2 linked regions of the Nothobranchius furzeri genome follow. The protein of the gene in region 1 purifies or fractionates together with the protein of each later gene. This does not show direct contact. Links are inferred from orthologs where the notes say so. Each region holds a gene or a part of one and is shown on either strand. Other genes may lie near its edges.

Evidence for each region. The genes of interacting proteins can lie anywhere in the genome.
Region 2: the proteins of lrrk2 (region 1) and slc25a11 purify together in Homo sapiens (co-immunoprecipitation; 3 studies listed by IntAct, with this or other methods). This does not show direct contact. The link is inferred for Nothobranchius furzeri from reciprocal best matches to the Homo sapiens genes LRRK2 and SLC25A11.

What each region holds. Positions count from the first base shown.
Region 1 is NC_091744.1:48,478,189-48,481,840, forward strand, and holds part of lrrk2 (leucine-rich repeat serine/threonine-protein kinase 2), read left to right. Parts: intron 1-77; coding exon 78-205; intron 206-321; coding exon 322-540; intron 541-613; coding exon 614-815; intron 816-1,116; coding exon 1,117-1,205; intron 1,206-2,896; coding exon 2,897-3,084; intron 3,085-3,160; coding exon 3,161-3,315; intron 3,316-3,408; coding exon 3,409-3,555; intron 3,556-3,652. UniProt on the Homo sapiens protein: Serine/threonine-protein kinase which phosphorylates a broad range of proteins involved in multiple processes such as neuronal plasticity, innate immunity, autophagy, and vesicle trafficking.
Region 2 is NC_091742.1:101,986,849-101,990,500, reverse strand, and holds part of slc25a11 (mitochondrial 2-oxoglutarate/malate carrier protein), read left to right. Parts: intron 1-809; coding exon 810-927; intron 928-1,151; coding exon 1,152-1,240; intron 1,241-1,400; coding exon 1,401-1,491; intron 1,492-1,578; coding exon 1,579-1,669; intron 1,670-3,652. UniProt on the Homo sapiens protein: Catalyzes the transport of 2-oxoglutarate (alpha-oxoglutarate) across the inner mitochondrial membrane in an electroneutral exchange for malate.

The DNA of each region.
Region 1 (3,652 bases):
TCATCAAAGAGATCAGGGGCCTCATTTATAAACTCATTCTTCCAACTATCATTTCTATTAATGTCCTTAACCTGCAGGTGGAGAGGACTTCAGTGGCTCTCACCCCCACTTTCTGACATCCAGAGCTCTCTACCTGGTTGTTTACAACCTGAGCAAAGGAGCCAGTCAGGTGGATGCTCTCAAACCCTGGCTCTTCAACATTAAAGTGAGCCACAGACCAAAGCTGAGCTTGTTTCTCTGTGCTGCTGACAGAGATCAGAGGTACCACTTCCTGATTTAAACTACATTGATGAGAATGGTTTTCCTGCATCTTTACTTCAGGCTGTGGCTCCGCTGTCCCCAGTCATCCTCGTGGGGACACACACAGATGTGAGTGAGGAAGCGCAGCTCCAGGCTTGTCTCGGTAAGTTTCGACAGGAGCTGCTGAACTATCAGGGCTTCCCGGCCATCAGAGACCATCACATAGTCTCTGCCTGCGAGGACTCGGATTCCATCGTCAAACTCCGTAAGACTATCATCCGGGAGGTCACCAGCTTCAAGGTAAAAAGGAAGCAGATAAATGTATTTCTTGTTTTATCGTCTAATCTCAAGTCATCTGCTCTTTATTTGCCAGATCCAAGGCCAGGAAGTTATAGGTCAGCTGGTGCCAGACAGCTATGTGGAGCTGGAGCGCAGGATTCTGCAGGAGAGGACCAAGGTCCCCCCAGAGTTCCCCGTTCTCAGGCACAGCGAGCTTCTGCAGCTCATCCACAAGAGTCAGCTGCAGCTGGAGGAAGCCGAACTGCCTCAAGCTATCCACTTCCTCAGCGAAGTTGGTCAGTTAGGAGCACAGCTGTGTATAAAAATGCCAAATCTACGATAAAATCTCATATTCATCAGATCAAATTAGAATTGTTTGTTTATATGAAGAAACTTGGTATAAAACCCTTGGTGAATTGTTTCCTTATTGTAAAACTCCGTGTTGATTTTTCCCCTTTACTCCAGCCTGTCAGAATGGAGCGTTCTTGGAATGAGGAACACAAAATGAAAGATTTTATCTAGAACCTCACCTGCTGATTAGTTACAGATTGTTGTGAATAAACTGATCAAGTCTTTGATTTGTTTTTGCTGTTGTAGGGATTCTGTTGCACTTTGATGACCCTGCGCTTCAGCTGCAGGAATTCTACTTTCTCATCCCACAGTGGCTCTGCAACGTCTTGTCTGAGGTAAGTCCATTACCCTGACCCTAGCCAAGCTGTTTCGTTTTTTGAAATAAAAAGTAGCTGAGTACGTTAACAATCATCACAACATTTACACGTTTCATTCTGGTTCTGGGCTACCAGTGACCTGCTGATGGCAGCTGAGTTTTCATTAGCATCACGCTCTTTCCCTTCAGTCTGATGCTTTTGACACCAGGGTCTTTTATCAGCATGCATGCTCGTCTGAACTTGTGCACTCACGTCCTTGTGAAACCTCATCAACTTTGGCTTAAGTACTGTTCCAAACCTGAGTATGCATCATGGCAAGTACTCTTAAAATACCAGGAAGGGAAAAAAAGAAAGAAAAAAAGGAAAATAAAGAAAAAAAGGAGAAAAATACCAGGATGTGTTTTTGCTCTGCTCGTTGTATAGAGGACGCATCAACGCAGCCTTCTGTGGACTTGGGCCAGCAAGCTATCCCATAATGCATTGCATCGCAAATGGTTCTACCTCCAATGGAAAGTTGTGGAAGACAAAGCTCCTAACTAGTGTTTCATTATCAAAAATACAAATAAGTCTAAATAAATAAATATAAAATTGTCTGTTATTGTAGATAATTGTGTGTAGACTGGGAAATGGTTGTGTTTGTTTTTCTCTTTTTCTGACTCTTCACTAAACCACGACAGGTAATTAGCTAACCCACTATCAGAATAAAACCAGTGTTTGCATATCTGTTTTGATAAAAAACGAACTTATTTTTCTTCATGTAACAGCGTGAAATGCTGGTATTTTACCAGTTTTGAAGAAAGATAAATGAAAGACACACTGTAGCATTAAAAATTTGACCAAATATTCTACAAACAAAAGGTTTTCCTTGTTATTTTGATATTTAAGGGACAAACCAGAATTTTACTGTTCTTTCAGGTCCTTTTTGTAACCGTAGTATAAAAGCTTTTTGCCAAGATGTAATGGAGTATGGTTGTTCCATATGCAGTCTTCGTCCTCCAGTACTCCATAGAACAGACTTTCTGCTGTCCCAGCCAAGAACATAGTCTCATTGAGAAATGGTCCCTCTTTATAACCCACCTCTTGATTGTCTAGTTTGTCATGGCAATGCTGGACTACCAGCCAGCTTTAGCTACAATTATACCTCTAAAACCACACACTAGACTTTAGTCTCCAATCCCATCCATGCTAGGTTATTATTGGTGTTCCACAGGGTCAAGTCCTTGAGTCCCTCTTTTTTTGTAATTAACCTCCATTTAAATGTGTCTAGGAAACCATGTTTAACTATTATCAAATGAAACCCAACCAGACTTGTCTGCCAAACTCTCACCTATACTGTTTTAGTGAAATGGTTAGTTTATAATATCCTCCAACTTATGGGTGAAAAACCGGAGTTTGTCTAGTGTCTGTTAGCAGCAACTTGGTCCTGCTGGCGTGTTACAGTAATTTTATCATATTTTATTCCACTGTAGGTAAAGAGTCTGATGTAATTCTTGATAGAACTCCTTAATTCAAAAATAGCTTTAGTCTTCTTGGTTTCCTTTATGGACCGACTCTGTACACCTTTACCAACCAGCAGCTCAGCTGTGAAATCCACACATCTGGTGTTGGTTATTTAAACTTCCTTAGCTAACATTTTTAGATATAACTATCTAAGTTGTCCTCAAATGCCCTGAAAAACTCTCATGTAAGTAGTTCTGTCTTCTTTACAGAGAGGGATGCTAAAGAGCTGTAGTCTCTGGGAGCAACCCAAAGGAGTTATTCAGCGATCCGTGGTGGAAAGGTTTCTGTTTGAGACCAAATGTTTCCCAAAGAGCCACCTGGTCCAGTTCTTTAAACTCCTGGAGAAGTTTCTGATTGCTCTTCCCTTTGGGGACGGCCAGCTTCTTGTTCCTAGCAGGTAAGTTTCACTTTTTTGGAACTTGCCCCGATTAAAGAGTCTTGAGTTTTATAGCATCTCACCCTGCTGTCTGCAGCTTGTCCAAACACAGGCCGGTGATCGAGCTGCCTCACTGTGAGAACTCTGAGGTGATTGTGCGTCTGTATGAGCTGCCCTACTTCCCCATGGATTTCTGGTCCAGGCAGATCAGCCGCCTGCTGGAAGTCTCATCCTATTTGCTCGGTGGAAGAGGTAAAATGAGCAACTTCTGTTTCATTGTAAAGAATTTCATCATTTCTTAAGCAAACAGCAATATAGTAGAACTCTGTCACCTTACTTTCATAGAGAAAGTTCTCCGACCAAACCGAATCTACTGGAGGAGAGGGCTTTACTTAAACTGGTCCCCTGAGGCCTACTGTCTGGTGGAGGCTGCCTCGGAGGAGCAAAGTCCCTCCAGCTTTGTCAGGATAACGGTTCCCTCATCTCGAAAAGGTGAATAAAATAAAAACCTACAAAGATGACGTTTGGAGATCATTAAGACATGCTGCTGTTATTATGTCTCACATGGACCCTTGTGTCATTGATGATA
Region 2 (3,652 bases), on another chromosome or scaffold:
ACACCTGTGTGAGCCTCGGATCCACACCTGTGTGAGCCTCGGATCCACACCTGTGTGAGCCTCGGATCCACACCTGTGTGAGCCTCAGATCCTCACCTGTGTTAGCCTCGGATCCACACCTGTGTGAGCCTCAGATCCACACCTGTGTTAGCCTCGGATCCACACCTGTGTTAGCCTCGGATCCACACCTGTCTCAGGTCTGAGCCTCAGATCCACACCTGTGTTAGCCTCGGATCCAAACCTGTGTGAGCCTCAGATCCACACCTGTCTCAGGTCTGAGCCTTGGATCCACACCTGTGTTAGTCTCGGATCCACACTTGTGTGAGCCTCAGATCCACACCTGTGTGAGCCTCAGATCCACACCTGTGTTAGCCTCGGATCCACACCTGTGTGAGCCTCGGATCCACACCTGTGTTAGTCTCGGATCTACACTTGTGTGAGCCTCGGATCCACACCTGTGTTAGCCTCGGATCCACACCTGTGTTAGCCTCGGATCCACACCTGTGTGAGCCTTAGATCCACACCTGTGTGAGCCTTGGATTCACACCTGTGTGAGGTCTGAGCCTCAGATCCACACCTGTGTTAGGTCTTAGAGAACTTCAGATCCACACCTGTGTAAGGTCTTTTAGAACCTCGGTTCCACACCTTTCTGAGGTCTGAGCCTCGGATCCACACCTGTCTGAGGTCTGAGCCTCGGATCCACACCTGTGTGAGGTCTGAATGGATGTAAACAGGTGTCTCTAACCTCTGTATGAATTTTGTCCCTCTGGCTGCTCCGTACTCACACCTTCTCTCTGGTCGTGTCTCAGGCTGTCTGCAGGTCTGCTCCGTCAGGCCACCTACACCACCACCCGTCTGGGGATCTACACCATCCTGTTTGAGAAGATGACAGGAGCCGACGGCCGGCCACCCAACTTCATCTTGAAGGTGAGATCTTGTCCCACAGCTGGTGGAAGTAAGTCAAACTTTATTTATAAAGCACCTTTGTACACACAAGGGGCTGAACAGGTGTGGGTCATCGTTTACACCAGAACACACAGATACAATCAGAGGCCCTAAGGAACGTGTAGAACAAAGCCCTGAGGCTGGTGTCCTGGTTGAGCTGTCCTTCTCAGGTGAGAGGTCTACCTGTGCTTTTGCTCCTCCCACAGGCTCTGATTGGGATGACAGCTGGAGCCACTGGAGCGTTTGTGGGAACGCCAGCAGAGGTTGCTCTGATCAGGATGACGGCTGATGGCCGGTGAGACATGAGCTCATGGTCTGTGTGTGTGTGTGTGTGTGTGTGTGTGTGTGTGTGTGTATGTGTGTGTGTGTGTGTGTGTGTGTGTGTGTGTGTGTGTGTGTGTGTGTGTGTGTGCACGTGCGAATCTGATCACAGGACAGTTTATTTGTGTCTCCAGGCTTCCTGCTGACCAGAGGAGAGGGTACACCAATGTCTTCAACGCTCTCGCTCGCATCACCAGAGAGGAGGGAGTGACTACACTCTGGAGGGTCTGTGTGTGTGTGTGTGTGTGTGTGTGTGTGTGTGTGACAATGTGTGTGTTTGTGTGTGTGTGACAATGTGTGTGTGTGTTTCAGGGGTGTGTTCCCACCATGGCCCGGGCGGTGGTTGTGAATGCAGCTCAGCTAGCCTCCTACTCTCAGTCCAAACAGGCTCTGCTGGACTCAGGTGATCATCTTACACACACACACACACACACACACACACACACACACACACACACACACACACACGCACGCACGCGCACACACATACATACAGACAGTATGTATGATTAGTCTAAAACTTGGTCATGTATCTTCTGCCATCAACACAAACTTAAGGAATTTGGGTGTTTTGACCAACCAATGTCTCTTGAAGGCCACGTTGATCCGAAACTGTTTTTATCATTTAAGAACTTGAAATGGTTCTCCATCTCCTCCCCGTCTAGATAACTGTAACACACTCTCCACATGTTCTCACAAAAAAGCCCTTGACCGCCTTCAGGTGGTCCAGATCTCTGCAGCTAGGCTCCTAACTGGAGCAAACAGAAGAGCTCACATCACTCCTGTTCTGGTGTCTCTGCACTGGTTACCCGTTAACTTTAGAGTTCTGACTAGAACTTTCAGGGCTCTACATGGTCAAGCTCCTCCCTATATATATATATATCTTAGTAAATATTGTATTTGGTGAGAGATAAACTTTATTGTATTTATCCTAGTGGATCTATAATTAAACGGATAAACTAGTAGTAGCACATCCAACGTCAAGGAAAGTAAAAAGTTATTATCAGGAGAGGGAGAATGTTTAAGTGGTTAGCAGCAGTGTGCTAGTCGATGGCCCCCTCCATGAGGCCACCACAGCTCAGCAGAACATCGTTGTAGCTTCTTCTGGGGAGAAAAACACTTACAGAGAAAATAAAGTTAACAGCTGAAATAGCAGGAAATAATACAGTTAAAGAGCAGATTGTAGAATAAAGTAGTAGAGTGTGAGAAGTGGTCAGTGTGTCCTCCAGCAGTCTAAGCCTATAGCAGCATAACTACAGAGATAACTCTGGATAATCTATCCTATTTAGATGGAGGCATGTTGGAGGCAGGGCAAGGGAGAGCCGTCTTTACCGACTGTACACTCCACCTCCCTCTACTCCCCCACTTGTCCAGATTTAGGCTAACATCAGATTTTAACCATAGACCCTATCACATAAAAATGTTTTAAGCCTATTCTTAAAAGTAGACAAAGTGTCTGCCTCACGGACTAAAGCTGGGAGCTGGTTCCACAGGAGAGGAGCCTGATAACTAAAAGATCTGCCTCCCATCCTAATTTTAGATATTCTGGGAACCACCAGTAAACCTGCAGTCTGAGAGCGAAGTGCTCGGTTAGGAACGTATGGACCAATCAGATAACTGATTGGTTGGGCAAACTCCCACGCACCCTTCAGGACCACCCTAAGGGTATGGAGATGGTCCAGTGTTCCACAGCGAGGATGAAAAACACATTGCTCCTCCTGAATCCAAAGTTTCACATTCCGCCGGACCCTCCTCTCCAGAACCCCTTAATAGACCTTACCAGGCAGGCTCAGCAGTGTGTTTCCCATGCAGTTAGAATGCATCCTGCGGTCCCCCTTTTTAAATAGGGAGACCACCACCCCGGTCCTCTAATCCAGTGAAACTGCCCTTGATGTTCACGCAATATTCCAGAGCCACTTTAGCCAACCCAGCCCTACGGCATCCAGAGCCTTAAGAAACTCTGGGAGGATTTCATCTCACCAAACTCCTCTCACGCCCAGGTTTTTGCCTCTGTGACCACCGGGGCCACATTCCGCTTGGCGTGCTGGTACCCATCAGCTGCCTCTGAAGTCCCACAGGCCAGAGAGACCTGATAAGACTCTTTCTTCGGCTGGACAGCCTCCCTAACCATCTGTGTCCACCAGCGGGTTCGGGGATTGCTGCCACGACTGAGACTGATGACCCCGTGGCCACAGCTATGATCGGCAGCCTCAGCAATAGAGGCACGGGGCCTGGCCCACTCGGACTCACTGTCTCACGCACACCCGAACGCAACCAAATTGTCCACAATAGAGGCCAGCCGATATATCTATTCAATTTTTTCTACATTGGCCATCGACTGAAATATTTTTATAAGCTGATAAAAGAATCAGGCCTTTTCTCATTG